Styela clava: one gene and its partners. The protein of the gene in region 1 interacts with the protein of each later gene in a pairwise test. Links are inferred from orthologs where the notes say so. Each region holds a gene or a part of one and is shown on either strand. Other genes may lie near its edges. The genes, in order: heat shock protein beta-1-like, protein pelota homolog, nuclear valosin-containing protein-like and WD repeat domain-containing protein 83-like.

Region 1 (8,698 bases):
GGAACACTTACATATTTAAGCACTAAAAATATGAAAGCGATTGATTGGATAGTGAGGGCGATTTTTATCCAAATAACAACATTGAATAACAACAATTTCGCAAAATGATCCATAGATCCACGCAGTAATAAATAAAAAATCGGTTAGAATAAGTATGACGCAAAAAATATGTGCGTGAGTGCATCGTCTACGTTCGGATTTAGAATACATGCCTTTGGGTAATGTATATTTCCGGGTGAAATCTCTAGAAATCACCCCGTGATCATCTTGTTTTTCGTCATGTGATCCTTTAATTTCGACTGTGTCTCCAACTGTTTTCACAGTTATTTCCTCTGGAAGAAAATGCTTAACATCCAGTAGAATTTGATATTTTCCATCCACAGTGGATACCTGGCAAACAACAATGTAATTATGGCAAAGAATATATATGACGTAACGCGCAACTATTTTAATTGTAACCAAGATTTACGAAACAAGTATGAATATCTTGCAACATAACACTTAGGGCTGCCATATGTTTGTTATCTTTTTGCGGAATTGTCTTTCTTGATATGCCTCTTGTGTCTTCATTATTGTTGAGTATAATATTTAATATGAAAACTCATAGAATATGTTTGATATACAACTTGGCTTGGCATTGTGTTAAGAGTAAGGAATCCGCTTTATATATATCGCATCGCAGACTACCATACGCGGATTCACAAACTGGGCCCTCTTGGGAGATGGTTAGTTATGTGGAAGATTGCTGGATTCCTCGGCGTTTCGCAAAACGGCTCACTTGATTATCAAATAACCGACCTCGACTGCCAGCAGGGGGAAGTTCTTGGTTCATCCTATGATTATGCCGCGTTGCGGGCTTCCGGTTAAACATTACAAAATCTGGTACTTCTGAGGTATGCGTATCAAGATGGCGGACACCGGAACGTAGTATGTGTACCAGGTTAGGGTTAGGCAATAATTTCAGGTACAACTTATCTAGTCCCCGAACTCGTAATAGAACTAAAATAAGGAAAATTGGAATTAAATTATGGCCTAACCTTAACCTGGTACACATACTACGTTTCGGTGTCCGCCATCTTGGTAGCCATACTTCAATAGAACCCAAAATCTTTCATAATTCAAACTCAAGCCAAACAATCCATTAGACAACACGTTTATGCAACAATGCGGAAACCCTGTATACCATTCTAAAATCAAGACAGATCTCATGCAATCTAGCATAAATATTTAGTAAACACTTACCAAATAACATGACATTATAAAAATATAAAGACATTTTTTACAAAGCACCCGCCATAAAAAATACACCCTCGCCAGCGCTCCAAATAAGAGAATTAATAAATATTCAGTTAGGGATAGGGATACAGATTGCGCTGTCAATTCAAATCATTTCCGACCCTAACCCCAACTGGATATTTACTAATTTGTTGTTTTAAAAAACGTGAATGGGTGTTTTCTCAAATCTCACATTTTTGCATTAGTGGTGCTTTGTATGAAAGATCCAAAATATTATATTAGACAAAAATTCGCCCATCTATTCGCACAATTATCATTGATCATATTTAGTAATCGACTCTTCGCAGCAGATGCGTAAAAACCTATATCCTAGAATCGCCTTACTTGAGAAACTCCACCACTATTCTGTCGGTTGACAAGTTGCGGAGCAGTAGGTTGGACGGCAGCCGGAGATCTGACAACATACGGAACGGAAGCAGTCGCCGAAGAAGCCCATGGATCACCCCCACCTCGGACCAATCTCTGACGATGCTCACTTCGCACACTGTTAGTCATTGGCATTCCGCCAAAATCCTGTATTCAAAGTGCATGTCTGGTTATATTCAAGCGAACTAAGTGAAGTCGACGAAAAACTGGTAAAGGCGTGCGTGACTGGATGGTAACCGTGAAAGAAAACTGATGACGTACCGTAGTTGACTTGTGAAGTCAGCGCAGAAAACATGAATCGAGCATGACATTGGAGTGTATCATCATAATGCTTAATGTGTGATAATCAAGCTTATGAGATTTAATAATTTAGATTGAAGATCTTTGCTGACTTGTGCCTTGCCCAATAAATATAATCTGTGAGTGTTCAGTGATCACATAGCGGCAGCAGAAGATAAAATTATATTTGCAATTGGTGATACATGTACCGAGAGCAGTGAAGAGTCAAAGTGAGTTGAATAATAAAATTAATAAAAAGGCTCTACTACGAATTCCTCGTACCAATGGTGTCCTATGCCATTTATCCGTATCATTTTAAATTTGCATATAAGCAAAATACAGAATAACGTATCTCAAGTTATGGTCCAAATCGCCATTTAAATGGCCTTTTAAGAAAAGACTGCATATTTATACCGTATATAAATCATAAATTTATTTCAAAACTATTCTCCAATCGTAACATCCTAAGTTACTGGATATAATCACATTAGACTTTTCGGCTACCACCACATCTTTTCAACAGTGCTGTGGCCTATGAATCCAACCTGCGAAGAATTCGTCTGGCATACTTCTGACTGAAGTACTGACGTCTGTATCGGTTGGCATTTTACAGAAACGTGTCATGATTTAAAATAGTGAAATAATGATGTTAATAAAAAACTCCTCTTCGAAATCTCAAACGTAGTAGTTACATTCAACATGCATAAAATATGAAAAGAACGAGAATAGCAACACATGCAACAATATACAGATATAAGCAGCAAACATAGCACAAAATAAGTACTAAGGATAATATAAAATTTGATTATTTACTAATAATTAATTAACAGTTGCAATCCGTTCTCTGGGCAAAAGATAAGGATGAGTTTTTCAACCCATTATATCCGAAATAGAAAAGTGATTTGTGACTAATGTGAAAAAGTCCAGAATATATAATATAGATTTTATTGAATATTATCCGGGATTATACAGAGACAATTTTATGTAATTGTCTGACATTCAAAAATAATTTGAAAAATATTTCAAGAAATTTATTTTTTGTGATCTATTAGACTTAGAGTATAAAAATGAACCTGTCTCAATACAAAAATTTATTGTAAAGTCGTTATCTTCAACACGTACTGCATAGAAAATTAAATACTAAAAAGTAAGACTCACTTGGTCCCAAATAGTTGTAGCGGGAAACGTCCAGTCTTGAAACGGTTCCCACGGGGTTGGTCTGTATGGTGTTATATGAATTCGACGTTCTGTTCTTTGTCTTTCAGCCATCGTTATTTATTTATAAACAACCTACTAATAAAAATGGACATTATGAAGATGCCGAGGACATCCTGCCCTGAATATAGCGCAATTCCACGAATTTCTCATTTATGATTCCTGACCAGTTCCATGTAGTCACTAGCTGAATAAGTTCGTACTGTTTTCATAAGCGTACACATTATATTCGATCTGCGGAATAATAAATTTTTACACTAAGCCCCACTATCCCAATTACTGGATACAGAAGCTAGAGCGGCATTTTATCGATCCAGCACCCCCTTTACTTGATCCCAAAATAGTCCCATTGCCTCATCTACATCTGGTTTACTTATTCGTTGCGCGTTCCACTATTCAAAGATCAAACTTAAAAACTGGTCATTAATATTATCTTTCCTGAATATCCCGATCGTAATAACTCGCTTCCATACACTTTGTCTGGCAGTATGTAGCTGAGGTGAAATTTGTAAACTTATTCACAGGTATGAGTTTCTTGCGCTATTTCATCTTATATTCTAAAGCGGGGGAAGATTCCATCGCTCTTTTATCCCAATTTGGGAGTTGGCAATCACTCGTCTGTCGCGTATTTGACATGTCGCAGAGACGATGTTCGACTTGTGACGGCATTTTGTCGAGGGCATTCGCAGCTGTCACCTTGTATGCGCTTGTTTCCTTAATTAAAGCCGTGACTCTATCTTTGGAGTATGTGCTATCGCATACTGTATTACTCCGCCAAGATTGGGCAGAAGATAACTTTATCGCTTCGGAATGCGGGACAAATGTTGCCCACATCTGGCGACTTCAAGAAATGATCGAAGTGCCAACCGGGTGCATTCCGGAGTAGTACTTGTTTTCAATTGAGCATTACTAGATCGAAGGTGCTAATAACAAGGATATCAAATACCACCAAGGACTTATTATAGATCAATTTGTTGTTATACGACTTCAAGTCTTGTTGGCGACCTTTGGTTCGAGTAGAAGATAATACCGCCGGATAAAATCTAATCAAGCCAACGTATCATAGTAATGTAAGAAATTGGTTGCTAAATCTGCTTTTCCTTCGTGCCATATTGGAAAGAGAGAGAGTTTATTTCATTTTGCCAAACCAAGAAACAACATACATATATAAGTATAATAAGTATAAGTTTATTTCGACTCCATAATCAGCAAAACAATAAAATGAATGCTAAAAATAAATAAAAACTGATTATGAAATCAGGAGAGCGAACAAAGCCTTAGATAAGGTTTAAAACGTACAGAATGTATATAAGATGGAAGGTTTTGCCAAGAAGATGTGGTACGTGTTCACTCACCTAAAATAATTGAAATATTTCACACACCGGTATTGTAGCAAGTACATAAGGATAGTTACTGTGTATTTTAATATTTTCACCACTTATTGTTAGTAGTGCATGTTATTTGCCTGAAACAAGGTCGTTGTCCCAATTCATTTCCTTTATGATATATTTCTCTCACTCAGTGTAGCTTGTCTTTGCCGTTATTTGTTAGTTAGAAATTTGGTTTCATCACATATACTTGCTTTAGGGGTTTCAAGTGTAATTCGTTATTTGGATCAATTCGATTGTGCAACTTTACAATATAACATTTGGCATTCAATACATTGTGTGCTTTTTGACCTCTGAAGGAGTCAAGATCGGAGTTACACTCTGTTAACGTGTGTTCAATAACACGGGTGTGTGGACACGCAGATAGGGTCGAATCTTTGTTGCCCTATAGTATATAAAACTATCAAATAAACAGATGCTTTCGGTACATGACTGAAGAGATACGATATGACCTTTAGGGGTCATCGGAGTCAGTTGCCACAAAGAAGAAAAACTGAAGTTGTCCGGTACAAAATTAAAGTCCGGCAATCAATATCCTCCATATTCTACATCGCAATACAGTTTCTAAATAGCGCAATACGAAAATTTGAAAGGAAATTTCTTTTAAGGGGCAAACCGAGCAATAAACTATTTTAAACTGGACTCGCCAAATTTCTGAGTTATATGATCTACTTATTCTACTAAATACTATAACAGCACAACTAATAAAGTAATACAAATAAATGCCGGTAAGTCCCACGGTATGTTAGTCGTTGGTCCCACTCAACGACTAACATACCGGTCCCACTATATAACTATATAATATTTTTGGCTTATATACCGCTGCTGTAGAGATGGCTTGATTCATCGAATGATTCTGTTCCAAATAATATTTGTCAAATAATAAATCTCTCTCTCTCTTCAATCGGTATAAATATGCCTGTGACGAGGGGGTTAACAGGCCCTATAATCCACCCTTTCATCCCAACCCAATACATTCAAATAAATTTGAAAATGGGCCATTAGGAAAAAACGTGCAGCTGAAAAATCTTTCTGCCCGGTCGACAAGTAGGGTGAGCTATTAAATTTACATTAAATCGCTCGTCGTTTGCAAAGGAGATACTGAACACATTGAGACGACACAGTTTGCTTTGTAACCATATGCATCGAGCTAGCGATGGACATAATGCAATTAGTTTATCTAAGATTCTAAGTCATGTATTGGTTTTGGGGTATTTAAAATTGATAGCAGTATTGGCGTAATCGAAAAACCCCTAAAACTTCCAAGCTACCTAGTAGCAGTTTAAGCGAGAGTCTTTTGATGGTATATCTATAGGAGTATCTATTACCCTACACCAGTGGTTCTTAAAGTTTTTGAGCCGCGCCCCCTTCGAAACATTTTACAGACATCGCGCCCCCCTTTTTGCTTTGAAAAAATGCTTTTGTAATGGGCAGGTTAATTTATATTACCATGGCGCTGTAAGTGTTGGTCTCATAGCGTCATTGCTCAGATTGTTTAGGCATAAAACGCATCGGAGTACAACTTCGCCATTCACAGTCGTATACGTATAAAGCCATACTCAAATACATTCTCCTTTTCCCGCTCAGTCTGCAATACCTGGTACAGCCAAACTAAGTTTTAGGTAAAACTAAACAAGCAATAAGTGTATGGTTTTTGCGCTTTAATGTATTTTCTGCCTAAATAATATTTTAAACAAGACACGTAAAACTTCAATCAATTGTTTACTTCATCACTATTGAACAATGCAAAAATTATTTACTGTGTGTTTAAAAAATGGGGTGTACTAGGGTATTGTGTATTGAACTACAGGTCCTTTCTCCTTGTTTACTTTCTATTCCGGATCCGTATGTGGCTGTTGCCACAAGGATGCGTGACTGAGATAGTATTATGAAGATAAATAAAAATAACATTATCTCTTTCCACGAAATATCAAGTATATTTATGAGCTTTCGTTAGATCATAGTCTAACTTCTTCAGATAAAACAAGATATGGCTTAATCAAATAGCGAATAATTCGCTCATAAATATACTTGATATTTCGTGGAAAGAGATTATATTATTTTTGTTTAAAATACACAACAATTACAGATTTCTTGGTTGGCCTGACGTCTCCAAAATTCACTACCAATACCTTTGAACAACCACCAGGTTCAAAAATACAGTTTAAAAATTGTGAAGGAGTGCAAATGAGTTTGTGTACATTTTTAGCATAAAGAAAAGCAGTTCATTTTTTGATAGGTATTAGGCATGTGAACTTTTCCCCGGCCTTTGACCGCTGGAAAATAAAGTCGCTAATAACGTTTGCAATTGAATTTTGTTTAAATCTCCGATTGTTTTCGTCAGCGTGACATGTTATTTAGGCGGTTCAAATATTTATTTCGGTGTTTATTCCCCCTGAATCAGGAAACGGTAAACACCGTGAGTTTTGTTTTGGGGTGGACCATGACAGTTTAAAAACTCTTTTTCTTAGACATTGCAAATCTCATAAATTCCTCGTGCCTGTAGTGTTCTAAGACTACCGACTTGAAATAAGTTTTACTCTGTTGGATTTTATCGCACACTTAGGAATTTCTAGAACGGTGATATCTTAAAATTAATCGAGTGGCAGCATTGCGATGGAGCAGAGTGGGAGTTGCGGGGACAGCTCATATTGGTCTAATGCGCAAGAATACGGAACCAAATGTAATCGGGCACTTTGCTACACATTTTTATGTCCGCGGATTGCTGTTGTATTTTGGGTAAGTGGTGCTTTTATTTTATCGACGCAATCGCAGATTCAGTTTATCACAATTACATAAATAGAGTAACCATTTTAAATATGAATATAGATCATGGATTGAATATTTTATTCAACAGAAAAACCATTACCGTACATAAAAGTCGGCTCTTTTTACGAGTGGCGTAATCTAGACTCGACGACTGACTCAGAAGCCGTACTGCGGGGATTTCGGGGCAATGAATATATATGTATTTTTGATTTACTAATATACTTTATATATTTTCATTATACTAAATTAAATATACTTTCCGGGATTTCATACCAGATCTTTCTAACAACGATAACGAATTCGCATAAGCACAATATATATATTTCAAAACTAAATATAATCGGGCAGTTGATGTCACATTATTATGTCTGCGGATTGGCGTGTTATTTTAGATCGGTAATAGGCCGCGAGCCGAGGCCATTTATCTTTCAGTTTCGTAGCGCACATCAGGTAACTACCTGAAAATGATTTTAAAATGTTCCTTAGAAATTTAGTAACAAATATTGCCTTGTTCCCACTTCCAAAAGTTGCACGTTTTACAGAAAAGACGCTTTTACTACAATAAATATGTGTTACCATCTGTCCTATTTTCTCTGCTTTTCCGGTATCATGGGCCAATGAACGCAGACTTCTGCACGACGTAACAGTCAAGTTAGTCAGCTGTAGGTGGATCCCCAGTGGTCGGATGAATATCAGATGTACTCAACTGCTCGCTTTTGCGTTGAGTAGCCTTTCCATAGTTTTTTTCAGTTACCGGTAATATTAGTTCAGTTATTCTAAGGAGGTGTTGAAAAGTATAGGTAAGATATTAAACACTTGTATATCCTTGCCATAAATAGCAATTTTAGTTGAGCACTAGCTCATAAGACGTTGTTAAATAGGTACGGTAACTCCAAGGAAGGCTAGACCTAGAATAATACCGGTATGTCACAAACAACGATATTTTCTGGCTTGCATGAAATGTTTATGATTAATTTAATGACTCTTTTTGACTATTCAGCAGACTTATACTACTATATAGGCCACAGCATATTTGGAAATAGAAATGAATGGCTGTTTCTGTAATGCACGGTTGTGTGAAAGAGAAGAAATTAATCAATTTTACTAACGTCGGTTGGTCTAAATCTAAATTCATAGAGTCGACAAGAACCTGGGAAGCAATGATAAGTTATGCCGGAGTGGAAAGAAAGGTAGCATTGGAAATGATTGAGAGGTGAGAAATGAAGTTGTAGACAAACAGTTGATGTTTCAAAATATAGTCTATAGTCCATACTCATACTGTCATAGGACATTTCAGACTGTGATATATCAAAATTTAGTGTAGATATAGTCTAGTAATGGTATGCAAACACTGCTGGACTGTAGAACATGCAATGAGCATATAT
Region 2 (8,567 bases), about 7.8 Mb from region 1:
CTAGGATAACTTATTTTGTTAGTGAAGATTTTATAGCATAGCTAGCATTGACTGAAAACTTGCAATAACAGATGCTACTTCATTACAATCAACTATTGTTACTTTTTTATGTGGTTGCATACACACGCCAATCTATTCTTTTTATGTAGATAGAATTTTGGCAACCGGCACAGTTTTAACCTATTCATTTGAGCCTCACCCATAATACGCTCTGTCTGGTTCCTGTTGGAGCATCTTATAAAATGATTCCATGGCACGTATTTCAGCTGCTGCTTTTGTATCTGCCAGTCTCGCAATTACAGAAGGGTCACTTAAAACTTCTAAAAACATAAATTGTGAGCGTACAGGAGAGTGGCTACAATATGCCAAGCACACTGGGGCATCCATGCACCAAATGATTTTTCACACAAGATACAAAAATTCTTTTAGTTCATCCTGATGCTACAAATCAACCCAAGAGTGAACTTTGCATTTTTATAAATTTAGATATTGTTATTCATGTTGTCACTGGGATAAGAGTCGAAACTCTTGGCAAAAAACCAATTTCTATTTTCGAGCAGTTGGAGAATAAGTCTCTCTTGGAAGGTTGTGACTTCATGTCCATATGTTTCCGCACGGCTCGTTCGTAACTTATCAATTATATAATACATTGAAACTTTCATTGAGTTGTTTTTATAAAGCAACAACCAGTAAAGATAAAAACAGCAAATATACCTATGTTAGCAAAAAAATCAGGACACAGAAACTTCATACCTTTTAAAGAATGCTTGAAACCCGACGAAGCATGTATCAACAAAAACTTTGATTTATTTTCAATAAGAACCCTATTGTCAGTCTTCACAGCATAATTGAACATATATTCAAAAAATTGATCTTTTACAAATCCTGGGCTCGCAACAAGAACACATTTAACAACTAAAAAAGAAATGAATTCAGTATAAACTGTATGTTTTTATTACTATTTATTCTAACATAAATATGGAAATGACCAATTACGGATATTATTTAGTACGATCGACTGAAGCAGTGTGTGCTAAAACGCTGCCCCTTTCTCTGTGACTTTGCATTGACTGCAAAGAATGAAAACTGCCAAAAGTATTCTTCAGACCAGCATTTTACAACGATGCATTCACAAAAAAAAAACTGGAATTCACCAAATTTTATTTGCTACAACCCAGTTGAGAAACCATTCAAACAATGTAATCAAAAAATCATTGCTTACCATCAAAATTTACATGCCGCAGAATAGCTTGCAATACAGAATCAAAAAACTTTTCAACACCCTGCAAAAATGTAGAAGCTTTTTAATATAATTAAAAGTAAACCAACAACAGGATAACATTTACAAAATAAAATCAGAACAACATTACCTTATCATGCTGTTGCGAGCTGCCTCTTTTCTTACGAGGTATCTGCATTTCTATTTTTGCTCGCACTAAAGTCATACTCGCTAATACAAGGCAAACATGTGCAATACCTTCCTGCATTACGATAGCAGCAACATCAGAATTTTGAGTTGGATCACAAGCAGCATCTAGGGAGGAATTAGAACAAGACTACAAACTAGATACATGATAATTACAAGCGGGTATTCTTGAATATTCACCAATCTTTGGATAACCGAATACTTAGAGATTATATAAACAGCTTTCCTCGTCCATGAATATGATTTAACACCTGTGTTGCCCAAAACAAGAAATATTAGTAATACCATTGATTAATGTACATTATTTAGCTCCGATATGACTGGTATGTAAAGATAATATTACCTATTCTATCTAACACCACACTGTCCCAACATTTTTTTGCAAGTGTAAACTTTCTGTTGACTTCCAAATCAAGAGTATGATATGCACCCATCTAAAAAATATATTAGCTTTAGACGGATAAATACCAGATAATACAACTTAATAAAGTGGACAGAATCAATCATACCAATAAAAAAAATTGAGAAACATAAACATAAATCGGTACTCCCGAAGTATGTGAACCAAGATGGCGGACACCGGAACATAGTATGTGTACCAGGTCAGGGTTAGGCCATAATTTTATTCCAATTTTCCTTATTTTAGTTCTATTACGAGTTCAGGGACCAGCGAAGTGACTCATGTAGTATTTGTACCCAAAATTATGGCCTAACCTGGTACACATACTACATTCCGGTGTCCGCCATCTTGGTTCACATACTTCGGGAGTACCCAAAAATCAATGATTCTTACCCATAAAAACAACCTTGCTGTGAACATACATTGTTACTTTCGTCCTAAATTTGACATAAACATTTTACCTTGACGAACTGATTTTCCACAATATTTCTTCCTTTCACCCGAAGAACACATGCTTGGAAATCAAAGTCTAATGCTTCCACAGTGATTGTCAATGTTGTCCGTACTCTGCTACTTCCAACACTACCAGTATTCGATTCAACTTGAACCTATTTAAGTGTGATTGTCATAGGAATTGAAAAATCTTTTCATAACATGATCCAAGTATAGAATATGAGAAGATGGAACTTGCAAACCTCGTTGAAATCGCACAAAGGAAATTTCTATATTTAACCATATTATACCAATTTTTTACAAAACTCTTTTTGTCCCCAAACAGCTTCAATACGAAAATACATGGGATATTTGGTAGCATTACCGGTATATTGATACTTTTGTAAAAAAGGGCTTTCCGGAAGGTCCTTTATAGGTCATTTTTGAAATAAATACTCACAAGTTCATTAAATGTTATTTACAGACACTTAATAACTGCTACACATGTATAGTTTTATTAGTCTGCTCAAATATTAAAAATAATCACTTTTTGTCACCTAAGAAAATTTTTATATCTTTTTCAAGAATTGCATGTATAGACAATCCAGGTATTAATCGAGGCACTTTTTCCCTGTTTTGTCGAATTCTCATTAACAGTGTAAACAATCATATTATTTATAGCTTATACTTAGTGTCTTCAGAAAAAACTCCTAGTGGTTACCTTACGAACTGTGGTTGATCTCAAACTATCTCCAGCTTGGATAATATTATAAGCATGCCACATATCCTCTCCATCTTCTGGAATGAGAGTCACTTGACTGAAACGTTAAGCAATATGGTTTAATATTTCCTACAATTACACATGAAAAATAATGACGACTGTTTGATTAATTAACGGATCTGAAGATCTAGGAATTGAATGAGCAGATGATCAACGTTTTCACAATTTCCAAGTTCAAGCGCAATTTGTGATTCAAACATGAATTTAAGTAATCTATAGATAACGATTTATATTTTAGCACAGGTGTTCTCCATAACAGATAATCGTGCGTAAAACTCAGTTTTAATTTAGAATCTCGGAAAATAAAATAAAATTTTTCAAACAATGTTATTTACCCTGATGAATCCTTTGTTATATTCCGATGCACAAGTTTCATGTTGGAGTAACGATGTCTTGCTTACAGTCTGTTTTGGAGCTTTTAATAACAACTAGCATATTATTAGACTAATCGTTGTCATAAGTAGTGAACTAGTAAAAAGCAAGTAATTCAGTCACATTTAATATATTATATTTTTTCATTTGCACAAAATCCCTTGAAAGACAGTTTAGGGCAGGGCTACTCAACTATTTTCACCAAAGATCCAGGAACAAAACTAACATCATTGGGGCCCGTTTTTCAGAAAATATATTTCACAGTGTGCCTAAATATATTTCAGTGCCATCTTCGACGAGCGTTGTAATGATAAATTAACCTCTAAAAATATAAATAAGATTTACTTATCAAAAAAAACTTTCATATATCCAAATTTAATGAGAATATGCTCAAAATAAAGAAACAGGTGCGGTCCGAATGGAATACTCAAGAGGTCTGGATTCGGATGGCGATCCGCCAGTTAAGTAGCCCTGGTTTAAGGTACCGTAGATTACGTATGACAACTGTGGTAGTGGGCAAATATCTTGCAAAACTTAACAACGCAAAATTCTGTAACAAATTTAAGCAGCACATAATATACTTTGAAATTACTACTGCGACTATACAATATTCCAAGTAAACATACATCAGCATAGAATAATAATAGATTGGATGTGCAATAGCATAAAGAAATATAATAAGCTGATTCAGCTTAGCTGAAATATATTTTCATTCGAAAAATTTCATAAGAGAATAAGACCGATTTACACAATGTGATCCGAGAGTTGACTGATCTAACATATTACAGACCATAAACACCCATTTGAACCCTTTTTTATTTTTAAAAATAGATTATGCGCCTTATCTGGTCGGCCAAATGTATGTAGTGACCCAGTTACTGCGTTACTCAAAAACGTAAGATGAATATATTATATTCATATATTTTTTCATCCTGTAACTGCTTCGTCTGAACATGAGCAATACATGATAGGGAGCATATTATAAACAGATTGTTTCAAGTTGTAGATCGCGATCCTGATCAGTGTCGCTTTCCGCAAAATGTTTTTCCAGCTTAATGCAGTTCCAATAAAACTCCTCTTGTGCGGCCATAGCAACTCAACTGTAGTAACTTAATCAAGTAGCAGTACCAGTTGAGTCTTACAACATTTTAAATCAAGATTGGAAAAAATTGTAATTTTAAATAATAAAAAAATGCAAAATCAAAATCTCAAGATTTTGGACCTTAAAAATATTCAGCTATTCAAATTTCTTCGGCATTAAAAGTCATCATTACTGTACATCTGAATTTTTCATCATAATATGTTGGAAGGGCATAAACCATTGAAGAGTTGTGTGACTTGACAACATTGCAGATATTCTCCTGACAAAGGATGACAGTGTCATGAACGTAATATATATTTGTATCTTGTATTGAACATGTCTATGGTCATATGACATGGTTGACAATTAAAGCAATGTATAAGAAGGAGAATCCAACAATACTGACTATTGACTGAATAGAGAACAGACTTGTGTGAAATATACAAAGGTACCAAAGGCTCGCCAGTGCAAAACCTAAAAATAAAACGATATTTATTAAAATATAATTTTAGTATGGCATTTCAATATTCATTCAACATTTATATTAGTATATCCATTTCAATATAATATAAAATGACTCCTAATCCTTCGATTTACAACATACAAGTGAATTGGAAAGGAAACCATATCCACCTATTCTTACTCTTCACGAACTACAAATAGCGTGACCCAAAATCAGAACCCCTAAATTTCCTGATTACTCCTAAAAAAACGAAAAAAAAGTTAACACCTGAACTTCTGTTATGTGTATCATAATACCCAAAAGTTTGAGCAACCTTGGATGCTTTGCACAAAAGTTGAGTCTTCTCTAGGAGAATGTTCCAAATGTGCTGGATTCAATTATTTGGCGTTACCCTATATTATTTTGGTAGAAGTAATTGTTCTCATCATATGCCAAAGCTGATGGCAAGCAAAAAAATAAATTTCAAATGAATAACTTGCCTAGTATTGGAAGCATGAAAGATCCTATGTGGAGTTCTTCTGCAACCATCTGCATTTGTTGTGAAGCACTACTAGCCATGTTAACACCTGCTTCGTTGGCAGGAGTAGCAGGTGACAGAAAACAGTGAATCATTGGTATAGTTGGATTTTCCCCAGTGGTATCTCCAACTAAATTAAACTGGCGTAAAGTCCGGCTTTGATCTCTCAAAACTTGTCCTCTATAAATTAATCTATATCGATTACGAGTATCAGAGGTGAATTGTCGGCTGTAAAAATTTAAATTGGTGTTTCAACAAAAACAACAGAATGCACAATGGCCCAGTAGTTATTGAAACATTGGACCTAACTGTATTGGCACTGCATCAGTACATCTCGGACACCCACCCAGGGTGTGAATAATTGTATGGGCAATGGTGACTGTGAAGATTCCGGTTTTTCCAATAATTTAGCTCCAGTGGCTGCTTGTACAGAGCCTTGTTCAGAGCAAAAGGCGTGAAATAAGTGACATATAAAAAAAAAATAACAGAATGCAATATATACTGCCTCAGAGGTTTTAATAACAATCAATAAAATGACAACACTGTTGTTATAGCCAGATTTTCAATTTCTCCACAATTTTCAACAATGCGATATCTTATTCGAATTCTAAACATTGCCCAATAATGACAAAATGAGGTATTACACCCAATAATATATTATAAAAGGTAATAACCTCATAAAATTTTCCAATGTCTCATCAGGATTAGCTTTCACAGTTTGTATAGTTTCATCCATAAATTTCAAACGTATTGTGATGCTTGCACCACCTTCAGCGGTTGAGGAAGTCGGTGCTTAATAAAAAGTTAAACAAATTAATCTAACTGATTAGATCACAGTTACTGATTTTGGAACATAGAAGACAATAAATAACACATTTTGTAAAAATTCAATATGGTTTTTGGAATTGTTGAAATTTATAATTTTTGAAAAGACTTACATTCCTGTGTCGGAGGTGTTTGTGCAGATGCTTGTGCATCATGAAGAATTCGATGTCTTAATACTGGAGCATCATTTGGTGATGAGTTGCTCACAACTGACTCATCTTGTGTGGGCCCAGAAGCATCTGAATTTGAAGAAGATTCTTCTGTAAAAAGATGAATAGATTTAGTATAGAAGACAATACTGATAATGATATGTTGATTTTGTCATTAATATACTGTTTTATGCAAGTACACTAACTGCTGAACTGGCTCATTGTTGAATAGGTTTTTAACTGAAAACATTTTTACCTGTCTGGACAGCTTCTGTTGGAACATTTGGTTGGGCTGATGCACTGTGTGTCTGATTCTCTACAGTTGCAGATGTCTGCTGACTATTTTGAAAACTGATAAACAGAATATAACATAGCATTGATGGAGATCTGATATTTTTGGTGAGGCTGTCCGGGGTGCGGAATGTGGGTTTATCATATTTTTATTTCTATTGGTGCCAAAGTTCAGGAGTTGTAATTCTGATTTTAAAACGCATCAAAGTCAGAATTTCAGGCTTCCAATGACAGAACGATAAATAAAAATTGCCAACAGAACTCAAAATCATTGAGTTGACTAAGCATTCTTAGAATGCAATTAGGAGGCTTGGCTTTACATCAGTTACATAGAAAAATTATGTTGTCTTGGCGATGGAGTCAAAGTTTTTGTCAACCAGTAGACTAGGCAGGATCATTTTTATAATACACGGCGTCAGGTCCAAATTTTAGCCAAAAAGCCCCGCCTTTTCAGCCAGAATTTAGGTATGAGCTTATAATTAGCAGAACACAGGAACAGAAACTAACCGAAGTAAACCACCACAATCCAGTCTTTGCCATTCCGATAAAGCATAATAAATGAAAGTGAGTAAGATCACAAAATATTTGTACCAAATCGACAGGATAACCGCGAAATGACCATTCGGTCTAGGCTACTTGTCATCGGCAACCTTAAAATAGCTTTAAACTTATGGCTACAAAATTTGCACTACGCAAAACGTTCATACATCAGTATTATAGTCTAATTATCAAGTTTCATTCGACCAATTTAAAACTCAAAATATTAGAACACAGTAGTTCAACCTACAGATTTAAAAAAAATATTAATCTTAGTCACTCACCTTTCAGTGGTTCCACTGGAATCGCTCACTCTCGTGGACAACCACGATACTATGACGACAAAAACTGCTACGAGAACGCCTAACAATACTGTTACCTCATCGCCAATTCCGTCAATCAGGTAAGACGACGACATGTCAAGAAGAAAATATGCAACTAAAGCAAAATTCACTATAGTCTACTCATAAACCCCTATTTCTGCATTTGGCAACGTAAACCGGTACGAGATACGGTATATGTAGTTGTCACTAGTTAGTAGTTACAACTCGACTTTTCTCAGCTGATTAACACGTGACTACGTTGTTGTTACTTCACTCTGTGGTTAGATTATCTGCTTTTGCGTTTCCTGAATACAGGAATTTTTGTGCTTGGCTAATCCAAAAAAAATCAAGTTATTATATGTCTAACGTTAAATTTGTCTCTCACAAAGGCAACATCAAGACAGTGTGGGAAACAATTAATGAACCAGTTGGTAAAAATAAGACCAATTAGGGACATTCATAACCTTTGACCTGTTGCGACTTGATGCAAAAAGAAGTGACGGCTGCGATTTCTTGCTCTGAAAGCCGACGCAGCTAGGTCTGACTTCAATCAATCATTTATTTTGGTTCTTTGACATAAACAATACAAAAAGTAAACAGACAAACAAAATGCAGAGATACCTGAGAGACGGGCATAACTTAAAAAAAGTTAAATAGCGTATAATGTACGAGCCCGCCCACCAAAAAAGAATAAAACAAACACAGAAAAACGCGATTTACAATCGGGCAGTACTTTGGAAACAATTTAACAAAAACAGCCAATTAAAGTAAATAATGGGATGCAATAAACTTCTACCTTCTAAATTAAAATGTGAGACGTGTATGTGTAACGTAGTAGTATATATTTATGGTGTAACAGTATATATTTACGGTGTAACACAACAGTGCTTTTCCTACAAGAACATGGAACAAAAAAACACTCCCTGACGCAAAACGGTGATGCTGTAGGCCTAGTTCAATTTCACTGCAA
Region 3 (7,835 bases), on another chromosome or scaffold:
TTATATTCAGCGCGAATGTACGTCGCATAGTGTTGCGACACATTTGCAGGTTTGCGTTGGTGGACATTGCCGACATTCGTCTTTTAATTCACAAAATCATTTCCATTAGTCGAAAAATCGACAATCCCCGTATTTCCCGGCTAATAAGTCGCTTTTCTAGACCCAATTTTGGCTTGATTTTTTGGGGGGAGGGGCGCCTTATAGAGAAAGCATGTTTATTTTATTTCTATGTGGCCTGCTTATTTTCGCAATAGTCTTCTCAAGCATAATTTGTGTTAACCTTATATTTGGTTCTTATGGGTCTGCCAATCATGATATTTAATCGTAGGCCGGTTATCGTTACTTAAAAGAGAAAACACTCAAAATAGTATTCAAAGTATTCAAAATAGTGAACTATTCGGTATTGGCCATCCCTGTCATTAAGCCATCTAATTGATTTTCTATCCACCAAAATAAATTATTAAATCCATCAATTCCTAAATACACATATACCTCAAGATATCCTCTCTAGCTTTTTCATCCGGAATACCCATACAAATTTCTCTATCAAATCTACCAGCCCTTCTCAAGGCAGGATCGATCGAGTCTGGTCTATTGGTTGCACCGATTACTAAAACCTTAAATATATAGGGAGAGGAAGCACATGTAATTGAGTAATATTGATGCACATATTAAATTTTCCAGATGGTTCTTCTTTTTCAGTCAGTCTCAAAAAAAATATTGCCGGATCTTAATCGGTCAAACGTGTGGTTGAAATTTCCAAGTGTTTATAAATTTAAATCATTTTTCAATTCGAAGATGGACCATATTGGCATATTCAGAAATTATCTCGGATGCATGAATGAAAATGAACCCTCTCATAAGGATTTTTAACATGAAAACATTTTGAGAAAAAAAATAAGATACCTGTGATGGTGATGCACTAAGATCATCGAGACATGAAAGTAATTGCGCTACTATTCTTCGTTCCATATCTTTAGAAGCAATTTCTCGTTTTGGTGTTATGGCATCGATTTCATCTGGAAAACATTTGAATAAAAATGATAATTGAGCACTTTGAAGAAGTCATAATAGTATTGAAAGTCATAGCTCAGTGGTAGGAGTACATACTATTATATAAAAGTATATTTGGAAAATTATCAGGTACTGTATTTCTCAATGTTATTGCCCGATGTCGAGATAAAGAGGCTGCAGTGAACAGTACAATTTTTCAAGAAAATTAGTGAAAAGGAGAAAGAAAATTTTTTAATTATCTAGCTAGCTGACCAAAATCTTGAGAAATATTACACAATTTCAATGCAGAGTTATCTGGATTGTTCATTCTTATTCTATTTCATAATCAATTTTTTACCACCGTCCACCACTAACAGTTTAAAGATTTCTCCCGACTAGTAAGTAGTCAAACATACCAATAAACACAATACAGGGCGCAGATGACAATGCCATTTCAAACATTTCACGTAATTTCTGTTCACTGTCTCCTGAAACTCCGCTAACAATTTCAGTAGCAGCAATCTTCAACATAGGAAGTGATAGTTCACCAGCTATAGCATTTGCTAGAAGTGATTTGCCACAACCTAAAAATATAATAACAAAATAGTCAAACATGACGAAACAGAAGATTGAGCTGTTCAAGAGTACACCATAACTTTTCAGAAAAAATGAGTCATACATAAAAAAGTTATCAGAATGCGAATCGAAGATGTGCATTCATAAATAGTTCTTTTATAATACTTCAAATTAGAAGATATGAGTTGGGACAGAATCAAATTGAAAGAAACATGGAATCAAATAATAAAATAGTTGTTTATTCGGAGTGAAAACACCCCATAAAAATTTCCTTTTTATTAAATGACATTGTAGACAAAATGTGACTCACTGCACTACATCATTTTCTTCATTTGAAAACATTATCCATCGAACTGGAATATATGAAATATCAGAAACACTATTACCTGGTGGGCCATGAAGCAGAATACCACAAGGTGGAATAACCCCAAGTGTTTTATAGATTTCTGGATGTTTCATATGAACAAGAAGTTTACAAACTTCTCTCAACGTATTCTCATTTCCACCAATATCTTCAAATTTTACCATTGTTGTTTGGAATTTAAATTTTTGTGTTGCATCCTTGCCTAGAATGTCGATATCAGCGTCTGAAGTTTTTGATTCGGTTTCCTTCTTTTTTGATTTTCTATGTCTTCGCCTATCTTTTTTTGTACTAGATGGAATATTTGTCTTAGTAACAGTTTTTTTATCGAGGGTAGGTTTATCATTATTCTCTACAAGACTATTTTCTTTGCTAACGAAGTCTGAATCAAAAAAATGAAATGTTTTCTTGTCTATCTCAATTTTCTCCTCTTCTCGAGATTCATTTTCTCTGCAAATATCATCGTTATTAACAGCATTTATTATATCTTTCTTTTCTTTTACAAAGGGTATTTCTGGAATAGGCGCCACTTCTGTATTTTTTATTGAAGGTTTTTCAAAAAAGCTTGATGCCGGAGTTGAGCAGTCAACATAATGATATGGTGAAGAAGGCATTGAACGAGATTTCTTTTGTTTTTTATAAAGAGACATAAGAGATGAATTCATTAATCGATGGTCCGAAAGCTCGACAAAACATTCATCATCGTCAGCAGAATCTAAAATATAGATGGTCTGGCTGTTAAATTGTTAAACTTTATTGTGTTGGCATCGAAGGTTACACATTTAAGTTTCGAACCCATGACTACAACGTCACACAGGGTGTTATAAACTGGCCAGGCAATGCAATCTTTCCAAAAATATTAGCTCCCTACAGAGCTAGAGCATTGGATAACAGTGGCTGTTTGTGCAGGGCCTTGTTCAGGTTAAATGGTGCGAGTAATCTTCGTGTAAAAATACTTGTACGAGTAATAGTTGCAACAAGTCCCAAAATGTTATAATGAACATGTTTCTGAGTTAAAAATACAACATTGTGTCATACTAACCAGAAGAGCTGCTATGTCCAGAATCTTCTTTCCTTCTTTTACTCATATGTTGCCTTTCTAAGTCATTCAAATTCCCTTTTCTCCGTTCTTCGACAATTGACAAATGTATCTGAAAATGAAAATATGATTTTTTATGCATTCTACTAATCAAAGCTTCAGCAAACAAAATTGTTCTAGTACAATAATAAAAGCTATAGCAGCAAATTCAAATAGCCTATCAATACAATAGGACATGATTACAATTAATTTGGATTGCCAGGGTGGAAGATATGCTTATAAAGTAATATTAGAAATTGAAAATCGCTAGAACTGCCAAATACAATCATAATTATACCTGTTTCACCAATTTTCTGAATCCATTCCTTTTTCTTCTTCCATAATCCTGGCGATATATAGATTGCAAGTCATCTGCCATATCATCTACATATACACGACGTCGTTCTGTCATATATTTTCTAACTCTTCCCACTAAACGACGATCAAATGAAGGAAGAAACGACATTCCAGGAGCTTAGCCTTCAAGCTCAAATGTACATCGAAAGATAGCTTAGTTAAGATCAAAGTGACTTTGGTTAGGATCAGTGAAGATTGAAGCATGTTTATTTCGGGGACTACCCTGAAGTGATGGACGGAGTCGTTCTGAGTTCTCATCTATTGGGTATAATTATGTGGGTAGGGCGACGACTAGCATGTCGTTGTAATCAGTGCAGAAAATTATAGTAACAAGTAACAGCTATAACTACCTGACATGGGCATCATGATTAACGTACCATACCCGACATGGACTGGCAGCCGGCCCATATGATTGATTCGTCTTGTCCCCTTTCTTCTCCCCCGAGATAAATCCTAATCCTCGTGGATAGGGTTTGTTTCCGTGCTTGTTTTTGAGACTTGTCCTCATTTTTAAAAACTTCGGATCAACTAAAATAGTCTATGCTCTTAAGATTTATATCTTAACTACTTCTTTATAATTTTCATCAATTATTCGACAGACCAAATTTCAATTCTATCGAATGAAGTGCCAAAGTATGGCGCTATAATGGGATGGCGTCATATTTCCAACAATTTCAACATTGTATCAGTAGGTTCCATTACATTTGAACCCACGTACATTTGAATTTGAACCGGTAATATCAACCCACGACAATTGCACCTGCATACTATTGCACCTATGGAAATATGCACCTGCGGATATTTGAACCCATACTAACCCTAACCCACGGATTTCAGCACCCGCATATAGATTAAACCCGCGGATATACGGGTGCGAATGTATTGGTTCAAATGAACGTGGGCTCAAATCATGTTCAAATGTAATGAAACCCAAATATATATGAAATGAAACAAAGAAACTTTGTATGTAACAAATACCAAATCATTGTTTGTTTTAGCGTGGGCAAATCCTCCTTTTATTCATCTCTCAATGACTTAAGCGAGACATTTTTTTTCTAAATGAAAATTTGAGTGTATCAGAATGATCGTCATCCACTCAAATGTGACCGAGGGTTCCATTACATTTGAACCCACGTACATTTGAACCCATGACAATTGCACCTGTATGCTATTGCACCTATGTAATTTTTTTTGTTTTTCGGATAGTTGAACCCATGCTGACCCTAACCCATGGGTTTTAGCACCCGTATATAGATTGAACCCGTAGATATACACATGGGTTCAAATGTACGGTCACCTCTCGAGATATATCGGTCATTGCACTTTGTCGAATGACCGTTCAGGAAATTACTCCCTTCAAGGCGATTTCACCATCTGTTCGTGGGCAGGAATAGACATGTCGGCGTAAACAAAGTCTGTTATCGGCCTTTTTTTTCTCTCGTTTTTGTTTGTTTATTATTTCGGATAATTGCCAGTCGGCTGTTTACCATTTATTTCGTGTTAAGAGTTAGCTGTTCAAGTAGTGCTAATTTATTTGCCGCAACGAGCGGATTTGTTCACTTGTCCATCAGTTTAATAATAGGGTTTGATTCATTTTGCATATCTTGTATTTTTATGTTGCTATTGTTTGCATATTCTAGAATTAAGTATGTAGTTAACCTGCCTGTTGGGTTGGTCGTAAACTTTAGCAACCCTCAACACCTCATTAATTAATCATTCGTATTCTACAATGATCATTTCGACCTCAACAGTTGATCGTTGCGTCTCAGCAATGATCATTTGACCTCAATATTATTGTAATCAATTAAACAGTTGGACCTCTGCATCCTACAATACTGTATACTGTATGTCATTTATGTTTCTACAATACTGGAATCATTTTGTGTTTTATCACCACACAATTTCGTATTTCACGTGACTGCAATAGATTTCAATCATATTCAAGTTGTGAAGTTGTTAACATCGAGATACCAGGCAGGTTATACATAAAAGAAAGTTAATAGCGCGAAGTGTCACCGCCCAACACGTTTTAGGATTCTTGTAGAGCCTCATCATAAGTACTAAGTCGCTTATAATCTACAGTATTCAAAATAACCTCACCACGAAATGTCAATCGATATCTATACAGAAGTCATTACAAACAAAAGGGAGGGCGCGAGAGGTCCCAAGATGGAATCGTAAATTTACATGTACAGCTTCTGAAACGGTCTCCGCGTTCGTTTAAAATACCGGCTTTTTCGTGTTATAATGAATTTTTCTGTCTCGTAATAACTACACTAATTCAAGATGGTTCTCATTTGTGTTAAAGGTAACTCGCGGTTGCGGCGATTCACGATAAAATAAACTCATTACCTATCTAAAATACCACGCCAATCCGCGGACATAATAAAGTGTGATCAATTGCCCGATTATATTTAGTTTTTATATATATTGCACTCATGCGAATTCGTTGTAGTCATTAGAAAGATCTAGTATAATATCCCAGAAAGTATATTTAATTTAGTGCAATTAAAATACATGCAAAGTATATAAGTAGATGAAAAATACATATTAATCGAAACGAAATCCCCGCGGTACGGCTTCTGAGTCAGTCCTCGAGATTACGCCAGTCGTTGAAAGAGCCGACTTTTTCAACGGATATGTAATGGTTTTTCTGTTGAATAAAATATTCAATCCCCGATTGATATACAATTTATATCAAGTCTGTAGTTTTAGAACACTACTGGTGTGGCGCACGCACAAGGAATTCATGAGATTTTCAATGTCTAAGAAAGTGTTTTTAATCTGTGGCGGTCCACCCCAAAACAAAACTTATGGCGTTTTCCGTTTTATTTTTAGTATTTTATAATGCCACTTTTACAATAAAGGAATTTTTAGTTACATATTCACTTCTTTATTCTATCTTTAGCATCTCGTCGCTGATGATTATAATAAAACCTAACTCGTTTTCCTCAGAGGTGTCATGGTTCCATTCGAGAACAAAAATAAGTAATTATAATCGTCTTCGCGGCACAAGAATATGTCGAGGGAAATTTCGGATTTAGGAAGAATAAACACCGAAATCAAGATATTTAGGGCTTAAATAACACGCCACGCGGACGTAAACAATGGAGATGTAAACAAATTGCAAACGCCTTAGCGACAACAATTGATTGCAATTTTACGTGTCTTATGTAAACTGTAGCAAGTACATAAGGATAGTTACTGGGTATTTTAATATTTTCACCACTTATTGTTAGTAGTGCATGTTGTTTGCCTGAAACAAGGTTGTTGTCCCAATTCATTTTCTTTATGATATATTTTTCTCACTCAGTGTAGCTTGTCTTTGCCGTTCTTTGTTAGTTAGAAATTTGGTTTCATCACATATACTTGCTTTAAGGTTTCAAGTGTAATTCGTTATTTGGATCAATTCGATTGTGCAACTTTACAATATACGAACATTTGGCATTCAATACATTGTGTGCTTTATTGACCTCTGAAGGAGTCAAGATCGGGAGTTACACTCTGTTAACGTGTGTTCAATAACACGGGAGTGTGGACAGGCAGATAGGGTCGAATCTTTGTTGCCCTATAAAACGTTTAAGCAGAAAATACATTAAAGCATAGGTTTATTGCTTGTTTAGTTTTACTTAATAATAGTTTGACTTTGCCAAGTATTGCAAACTGAGCGGAAAATCGAGAATGTATGATGACCAACCACGCGGCGGTGTGGCTCAACGGGCTAAGCGTTAGGAATACGCTCGCCACCGCACCTCTAATCACTCTGCGTGGGTTCGCAGGTTCGAATCCCATGCAGGGATGGTTATGTGCGACCACCAAGTCCATACTTCCGAAAACAAACAATACAGTAAAAACTAATCCCATACCCGACTTGGAATGGTAACCGGACGAGAGGCCGTGGTTCGCCATATGGATAAGCTGTCTTATCGGCTTTCCTCTCCCCCGGGATAAATATGTAAATCCTATCCTATCCTATTCGGCTTTACACATACGACAGTGAATGGCGAAATCGTACTCCAAAGCGTTTTAAAGCATTTTTTCAAAGCAAAAAGAGAGGGGGGGCGAGAAGTTTGTAAAATTTTTCAAAGGGGGGCGCGGCTCGAAAAGTTTAAGAACCACTGAGTTGGTCAGATGAGAAATTCCAGTAAATACTATAAACTATTGTGTCAAGCACCCCTTCTAATAAAACAATCATATTCAGTAATGCAACAACGCCAACAAGTAATCAATCATGACAAAGTAATTCATTTAAATCCAATTTACTGCGTCAGAAAATTACGAAGACAACAATGGGAAACAAAGATTATAAAAAGAATAGTTATCAAAATCATCAATTCGCCTCCAATCAACCCACTTATTTTTAACTAAGAAATTTGGGTCAGAATCAATAAAGGTACAATGTGGATCTATAATTATTAAATAAATACAATTTTCTTGATTGCATCTAGCGATACCAAAAATACCCTTCGA
Region 4 (7,971 bases), on another chromosome or scaffold:
AGGTAGTCTTGCAGCCACATATACTACATCCTATCGATGGTGCAATTGTTGCAAGCGAGAGTGCCTTCGGTCAACAACCAGATACAAAATATTTAAAAGAACAAGTCTCAAAACTTGTGTATTAGTAACTGATCTCATTTTTTATAATGAGATATACTGGTACTTCCAACTAATCAAGTGAACTAACATCAGCAAAATTTATTTATTTTATATGTCACATCAATCAAAACCAATAAATGGTTTTGAGTACGAAGTACGAGTTGCCTAAAATTACACGAGTAGTGGATTTTGGGGCTTGTTAGTTACCTAAATAAAGTGTATAATGTGTTACACAAGGTATGAGCGAGACCCATCGAAAATGCTCAAAATCTAGTGACAGCACATTACTAAATTAAGGCAGATTTTTTTATATTTCTTAGCAGTTCATTTCTTGCCCTACCATCAGATGTCAGATGCATTATTCTGAATGCTTATGATGAATTTTTCTTAAAATGACTTGTTGAAAATGTCAATTATACTGTTTTGTCCTGTTCGATCTGCGATCTCAAAGTAAAATAATATCCCATGTATCACTCTTATCAGATGCAGATTCTGGACGATCCTCTCTCACATCCACGGTACTTGTAAGTCACCTTGCTGTCACATTCCTCATTGAATGCTATTTATGTTTTATCCTTCGGTTCAAACTCTTCACTTCTTATTACAATTATTGAATTATCCATTGCAGCAAGAAGGCTGACTTCTTCAGGATGATGGCTGATTGAATGTACTACTCTGTTTTCTTTTAACTTTATTTTGTGTTGAATTTTCGCTTCAATCAAATCCCAAATATAAATGAATCCATCTTCAGATCCGCTGATCACATGATCGTCTTTAGCATTCAATCCGCATTCTATCATGTATTTGCTATTTTTATGTCCAGTATATTCTCCTGTGTATTAAAAACAATTTCTTCAATTACTAAATTCATATAAATTTAAAATGCTGTAGCTTGTGTTTGAATTACATAAACACCCAAAGAGATCAGAAATTATTAATTTAGCTATTAATCTCGATATTCGGGTCCCGGTTTACCTGATACTCTACCAATACTGTGGAAATTTTACAAATACTATGAAAAGTGATTGTTGCAACAGTAATTACAGTTCGATACGGGACTTGGAATTAGTGCCCCCATCTAACCCAGAGTGTGATGAATTGGGCAGGCAATATAGATCCAGGCAGATTCCAGTAATATTCATGGCTGACAGTATAGAGACTTGGTTAGAGCAAAAGATGCTGTATAAAGTGAAACAGGTGAGACAGGAGAATTCCACAGATATATAAGAATGCTTATATTCAGTTCACTTTGTACTTCATAGGTATACTGTTAGTGTTACTATCAAATATTATTAATGGACAATTTGATTTCAATGCCTATGGAATGAAATTTTGCCTGTGATGTGAAAACAGTATTTTCAATTTTGGAACATATGGCACATTGTGTTGCAAACTGTTAAATTATCTGCCCCCTCTGCTGAAAAAAAACTTTTAAAATAGAAAATTCAACAATAAAGGACTATTAATCACACTTTTGTACAAACCTAACATTTCTCCCGAATCAACATCCAACAATCTGATTGTGTGGTCATGACTTGATGCTAAAACACATTGAGAATCTTTAGTGTAAACAGCATAAGTAATAGCTGATCCGATGAAATCAGAAAACATTTTTCCAGTTCTTATATCATATCTTCGAACTTTGCCATCGACAGAACTTGAGAGAATTTCATGATCATTGACCTGTGTTAAAAGCACGAGAGTCTTTAATAACAAAAACTTAAATGTGATTCGACAGAGAGTTTGATGATTCAGAGTGATTTGACAGCCAAATACTTCTTTATTGAGCCACAGTTTAACAATCTCAGTAAACTGTTATTTTTCATAGAACAAGTGATAACGAAAGATTTCTACAGGAGTGTTGTGCTAGGTATTTCAAAGGGGAGGTTCTAAAATTTATAATTGCCAAGTTAGACTGTAACAGCTAGCAGGTTTTGCTGAAAAACGAGGGTTTTCAAAAGTCTTGAGTCTAAAAAGCCGTTTCAAACTACAAAAAATTTATATGTACGATACAGAAAAGCTCCTTTTTGTATATTTCGAAAGAGAGGTAAGGTTCAAAATCCTGGGTACGCCCTGTATTTCAAGACATATTAGCAATGTCTTGATTGCTAATTTCATGCATTAAAAGGAAGCCAAGAAACTGACGACCTGTAAAGATGTAATGCTGTCTTTTGCTTCATCCATAATTTGGTAAGGAGTTGGTTTGCGTGATCTACAATCCCACGCTCGAATTGAAGAATCTACAGAACCAGAAAGTATAGTGGTCGACTCTTCATTAAATTGAACACAATTCACTTTTCCGACATGCCCTCTGTATCGTCGCATAATCTATAACGGTGTGAAAAATAAGATTTATTGAGATTTCTTTGAATTGAGCCAAAAGAGTATCCATTGAAACTGAGAGTTTGAAAAACCAACACTTTCAGCTTTGATAAATAATAAATAAGTTTAATTTGCAAAGCCAGTATAACTGAAAACTCATCACTTTTTTTTATCATCAAAACAATCCAAAAAGTACAAACAATGTGCGGAATTACCAGACAGTGCGCATGGGTTGGAACAAATTTTAAAATGTATTAGTATGCACCCACCAATAAAGACAATGGAAATACACACAAAAAAAAACCAAACCGTAGTGCAATAAGCTTGTTCAGCACAGCAATTTGTATTACTTCTAATTGGAATGGATTGCTGCTATGAGAATTAATTTACCTGACCACTTCCAACATCCCAGTATATAACAGTTTTATCACTACCACCAGATGCAAGTTGTGCATTGTCACATGATCCACATGCATCTAAAACATCTGAACCATGACCAGTGTATTTCTTTATTAATAATTCTTTGTTAGGATTCCATAATTTAATGGTCTTGTCACTTCCACATGTTATACAGTAATTTCCATCAGCTGAAAGTAAAATATGGTTGGCTGAAGATGCTACAAACATTTGAAGCTAGGCACTGGCTAATTGAGGGTGATGAATTTTTTAGCACACATAGATATTACTGTATTAGTGCTGTACAATGCGAATGCAATAACAACCACATTAAACCCCATATTTTCAATCAATCATACAACCTCGAATGTCTATAGCCTATTTTCATTCTAGAATCAAAACAAACTCGCCAAGTTGCTGAACAGAGAATAAATGAATCTTTCTTGTAACGACGATTTTTAATCCCTATAATTCATTTGGTAAAGGAGTAAAAAATACACACCATTATACCTCACAGCCCGGACTGCTCCTTGTCCGCAATCAATACTCGAAAATATTTTTGTTGCAACATTCTGCGCCATGCGTTACTCCACTTTGACAACAAACTACCGTACCTTTGCAGTGCTAACGTTAATATTATATAATCTCATATATTCTATGATATTAAAAAACGTAGTTATAAATCTTGACCAATACAAGAGACACCCACTTTATCCCAACAAAAACGTTTTGACAAAAATTTACAAATTGTACGAAAATGGACAGGAATTCATGAAAAGATATCCACGCAGAGTTCGAATCCCATGCAGGGATGGTTATGTGCGAGAGGATTGCTGGACTCCTCGCCGTCGTTGGGTGGTTCACGTAACCGCTGGTCGGTTACGGCTTCCTCCACCACCAAGTCCATGCTTCCGAAAAAACAAACAATACAGTAAAAACTAATCCCATACCCGACTTGGAATGGTAACCGGACGAGAGGCCGTGGTTCGCCATATGGATAAGCCGTCTTATCGGCTTTCCTCTCCCCCGGGATAAATATGTAAATCCTATCCTATCCTATATCGCAATGGAAGGATGGCCCACACTCGGACATCGACAAGTTTCATGATTGTATGTTATTTACACGCTGTGCGAAACTACACTGATTGAATTCAGATCTGACGCTGACATGAAGGTTTTTGAAATTGCAGAGCTTTATTATGTATTCAATATAGTTTGCGTTTGTTGTTGCTATTGAGTGTCATGTAATTTTTAATAATAGTTGATAAATATTACATATAGTTTTTTTAAAACATTTCTTAAGCTATTTTCATTTCAATCGAAACTGCGATCACTGATCGGCACGCGTGACTGATTTTCAAAATAAATCGTTACGGCGAGTACTGTTGTTGCAGTTGGCCAAACAAAACAGCGGTGGTTTCAAAAAGCTTTTTGTTGCTACTGATCGTGTTGCTTTGTTTATCGGATAAAACAATTGTGTATCGATTTGAGAATTCGTTGTTTAGGAGACTTTTATTTGTAGGACACGCTGACAGCTAAAAGATTTCCTCTAAATTACAAAATCGCAGTAGAAAAACTGTAATACCAGAATACAGAATGGTGCTGTAATGGGAAATTTGTGATTCCATTTAACTGTGTATGTGGCATATTTTTAGAAAAAGTTGTGTGATTGGTTTTGGTGTGCGTTATTTAGATCTATGCTAGTTGATTACCAGTATTTTTGTTTAAATTAATCTTTTTGGATTGCACGGCTTAATATGCATTTTTTTTTATCTTTTGAAGTTCAATTTCCGAATATTCAGAAATTGCCTTGCAATATTCTGATAGGCCTACCTTGTTTCCCCGAAAATAAGACCTAACCTAAATTTGTAAATTCTAAATATTTGTATATTCAAAATTATCGTAATTTCCAAAAGAAAATTGAAATAAGATCCTGTCGGGGCCCTCATGGGATAACTCGAAATACTCTGAGATTATTATTATGCAGACAATATTTCCATATTTAGAAAAAAAAATTCCCTTAAAAAACTTATGATTCCACTGCTGCACTGCAGAAAAACCCAATGCAAACTTATTATGACTAGAAAATAGTCATTTCAGAATATCCGTATTCTCGAAACAAGCATTCTTCAGTAATTTGAAAGCAGTTGAAATGAAATAATGAAATAATCTTTGTTTAGTTTTGCTGATCATACCTAAGTGTGAGTCATTATTTATGTTTGCTGGTTTGTTGATAATATTTTAATAAATACTCATACTTAATATTTCTTAATATCATATTCTCTAATATAAATTTGTGAATAATGTTTCAGATCGTCCATCCTGCCTAATGCTAGGTGTATTTCTCAACTTTCTTTGCTAAGATGAAAAAGACTACATAATTCCTTGCTTTAAACAATCTGACTATTGGACTAAATTTGAAATAAAAAAAATGCCGAGTCGTCGCCAAAGATTTGTGGACTCTTCCTCTTCTGAAAACTCTCCTCCACAGAATCCATCTAGGAGAAGGTTACCATCTCCTCCTGCTGGGATTCTGCGTGGATCAAGACATGTCACAATCATGGATCCATTATCTATTACAAGAAGAGTTGATAGAATAGCGGACAACTTAGAAGATACATCAAGGAATTTAGAAAGCATGGATTCCAGACTTTCAGACTTCAAAGATGTTCATGATGATTCTATGTCAGCTTTATCCAAGGTAAGAAGATTAGTTAATTATTTTGTTTCAGTTATTTTAATATCTTTTTTACTGATATTGTTCAAAAATTATCAAGTTAGTTCTTGGAAAGAAGAACTCAATTTGGCTTACTCAGGAATTGAAATTTGGACTTACATTTTTTATTTCAACCCTGTCAATATCATTTTTAAAAAATGGGAAGAATTTTACGCTTGAATTATTTGACTCGCCAAATATAATTTTTTATTTTGCAGTTGAAAAATGACCTGGAAGGATCAATAAACAAATTAAGATATGAAAGAGAAAAGAGAGCAGCAGCTCGTGAAACAAGAAGTCTTCATCAAAGTGATTTTACTTCTTGTAAGTTTTGAAATAATTTTGGATATTTTCACCAGTGTTATGCGGCACATGAGTAGATGGTGACAGGTTGTAATTGTTGATTCCATTACTGGATATCAATTCATACTTGATTATGATTTGTTTGTTTATTATTAAACAGACTATGCCACATTAACAGTCTTTTTTAATAAGAATTTTGTTATTCTTTGCAGCAAGGGGAACACGACCTAGACCAGCGAGTAGTCTTGGCTTTGAAAGAACATCTAGAACAACAGCTGGACCATCAGATCATCTCAATGAATCGGTAAGATGTAAAATAATCTTGTCTTGTTAGCTCGTAGAAAGGGATAGCTATATATGACTCATTCAGTTTGGGTGAGGGCCTTCATGTCGCAGTTTGTGCAGCAAAGGCATACATTGCTTAAACTGAACTTATAATCATTGAAGATTTTAATCAATGACAAATAAGCCCCTATTCAGGAAAACTTTTAAACTTTTGTAGCAAAAATCCTTAGCCCAAATCAGAAAGAAATATGGTCAGTAGACAAAGAACCCACTTTCGCTGCTTGAACTACCTTTATGCCATTGTATGATGCTTCCTCCTGCTTTTTAAATAAGTATTACAACATTTTCCAGAAAATAGACTTGTTTGATTATGTCATTCTCCAGTCATATAATAATGTTATTATTAAACTTTAATTTTTTCTGTAAGTTTCAAAATCGATACTTTCAGGTTCGAGATTTGAGAGGAAGAGTGTCAGAGTTGGTTGCAAACCAATCAAGAATGGATGATGAATTACAATATCGGTAATTATTTGTGAAGTTAGCTCATTTTTACCTTGACTGTTGTTTCTGATGATTTTTATACTATATGCTTTCAAATTATAAACATTTTCCCCTGCACTAAGTTTACTACTTTGCTTTTAACCCTGAATATCTTCAAAAATTTTATTATGATTTTATCAATATTCTACACAGTTCTGAATTGGGATCGCGAAAAGCATTAAAAGAAGTTAATGGAAATGGACTCGGTGATTCAGCAGCAGATCGTGTTGAACGTAGATTAAAACAATTAGAAAATGAGTTGGTCAGTGAAAGAGAGAATGCAGCTCGATTTGCTACTGATGCAACAAGGGATCTTTTAAGAAAAAGTCAAGCAAAGTATGCTTTTCTTCTTTGTTGTTTACCTGTTTTGCTTTATTGTTGTCATCCTTGCTTTTCACTGATCTAAATTTGTTAAAAGGGTATTCTCGTAGTATGTGTACCAGGTTAGGGTGAGGGCAAAATTTTATTCCCATTTTCCGTATTTTAGTTCTATTACAAGTTCGGGGACTGTGTGTTAGCAAAGTGAATATACCCCCTGCTCATAGGTTTCCGTCTCTTTTCAAAACTTGATGTAAAATAGGCGAACAAATTTAGTTACCTCCATATTGGTATACACACTTCTGGAGCGCCGTTAAAGAAGGTCTTAATGTTTACTGTCTGATATCTATGCATGAGATACCATTTTCTTGGCAGGTAATTATTATTATGTAATTATGTTATTCATATTCTAATTTATCATAATTCTGGATATGTTTATTCTGAAATGTCATCGCTTTTTTGTCGTATTGCAAAATTTTTGTGTCAGTTATCAACTCTTAAACTCTTAAAAATGAGAATTACATGGAAAAAATACAATTTAGGAATCAAGATGATGAAGTTGTTCTTCGCAACCAACTGTTACAAGCTGAAGCAGGGAAGAGAGCAATGGAAACTGATATGGATTCAATGAGAAGAAGATTAGAGCAATCAGAAGGAGGACGAGAAGCATTGATGGGACAGATTGGTATGTAGAATAGGGGTCTGAAACCTATGGGCAGGGGGTATATTCACTTGGCTAACACAGACAGTCTGAACTCTCAATATACCCAAAATAAGGAAAATTGATTAATCCTAACCTGGTACACACACTGCGGGAGTACCGAATATATAGCAAGCAAGCAAGTAGGTTGAAAGATAAGCCAATATCTCAATCTTTTGGGAAATCATGATATTATGCCACAATTTAAGGACTGAAATTACGAAAATCACCTATGATTTTCTATGGCACCTGATGCAGAGCCCGATATAGGCTCTGAGACATTGAATATTCT

The links.
Region 2: the proteins of heat shock protein beta-1-like (region 1) and protein pelota homolog interact in binary tests that used the Homo sapiens proteins (3 or more experiments, as listed by UniProt). The link is inferred for Styela clava from reciprocal best matches to the Homo sapiens genes HSPB1 and PELO.
Region 3: the proteins of heat shock protein beta-1-like (region 1) and nuclear valosin-containing protein-like interact in binary tests that used the Homo sapiens proteins (3 or more experiments, as listed by UniProt). The link is inferred for Styela clava from reciprocal best matches to the Homo sapiens genes HSPB1 and NVL.
Region 4: the proteins of heat shock protein beta-1-like (region 1) and WD repeat domain-containing protein 83-like interact in binary tests that used the Homo sapiens proteins (3 or more experiments, as listed by UniProt). The link is inferred for Styela clava from reciprocal best matches to the Homo sapiens genes HSPB1 and WDR83.

What each region holds. Positions count from the first base shown.
Region 1 is NC_135252.1:17,837,889-17,846,586, forward strand, and holds the start of heat shock protein beta-1-like, read right to left. Parts: upstream 3,678-8,698; 5' UTR 3,211-3,677; coding exon 3,100-3,210; intron 1,810-3,099; coding exon 1,621-1,809; intron 391-1,620; coding exon 213-390; intron 1-212. UniProt on the Homo sapiens protein: Small heat shock protein which functions as a molecular chaperone probably maintaining denatured proteins in a folding-competent state. Plays a role in stress resistance and actin organization.
Region 2 is NC_135252.1:10,070,925-10,079,491, reverse strand, and holds the start of protein pelota homolog, read right to left. Parts: upstream 3,512-8,567; 5' UTR 3,416-3,511; coding exon 3,375-3,415; intron 3,077-3,374; coding exon 2,980-3,076; intron 2,435-2,979; coding exon 2,288-2,434; intron 1,861-2,287; coding exon 1,770-1,860; intron 1,535-1,769; coding exon 1,371-1,534; intron 1,284-1,370; coding exon 1,223-1,283; intron 916-1,222; coding exon 754-915; intron 321-753; coding exon 200-320; intron 1-199. Other genes in the region: transmembrane and ubiquitin-like domain-containing protein 1, read right to left, coding at 4,839-4,966, 5,435-5,700, 6,147-6,264, 6,411-6,557, 6,703-6,797, 7,559-7,692. UniProt on the Homo sapiens protein: Component of the Pelota-HBS1L complex, a complex that recognizes stalled ribosomes and triggers the No-Go Decay (NGD) pathway.
Region 3 is NC_135250.1:9,216,472-9,224,306, reverse strand, and holds the start of nuclear valosin-containing protein-like, read right to left. Parts: upstream 3,644-7,835; 5' UTR 3,475-3,643; coding exon 3,307-3,474; intron 3,082-3,306; coding exon 2,973-3,081; intron 2,646-2,972; coding exon 1,956-2,645; intron 1,578-1,955; coding exon 1,410-1,577; intron 1,020-1,409; coding exon 907-1,019; intron 618-906; coding exon 493-617; intron 1-492. Other genes in the region: ufm1-specific protease 1-like, read right to left, coding at 7,641-7,835. UniProt on the Homo sapiens protein: Participates in the assembly of the telomerase holoenzyme and effecting of telomerase activity via its interaction with TERT. Involved in both early and late stages of the pre-rRNA processing pathways.
Region 4 is NC_135253.1:10,241,398-10,249,368, reverse strand, and holds WD repeat domain-containing protein 83-like, read right to left. Parts: upstream 3,519-7,971; 5' UTR 3,399-3,518; coding exon 3,320-3,398; intron 3,009-3,319; coding exon 2,812-3,008; intron 2,428-2,811; coding exon 2,248-2,427; intron 1,783-2,247; coding exon 1,584-1,782; intron 932-1,583; coding exon 663-931; 3' UTR 341-662; downstream 1-340. Other genes in the region: ankyrin repeat domain-containing protein 40-like, read left to right, coding at 1-125; uncharacterized protein LOC120326295, read left to right, coding at 5,249-5,518, 5,752-5,857, 6,049-6,140, 6,570-6,643, 6,815-6,997, 7,522-7,664. UniProt on the Homo sapiens protein: Molecular scaffold protein for various multimeric protein complexes. Acts as a module in the assembly of a multicomponent scaffold for the ERK pathway, linking ERK responses to specific agonists.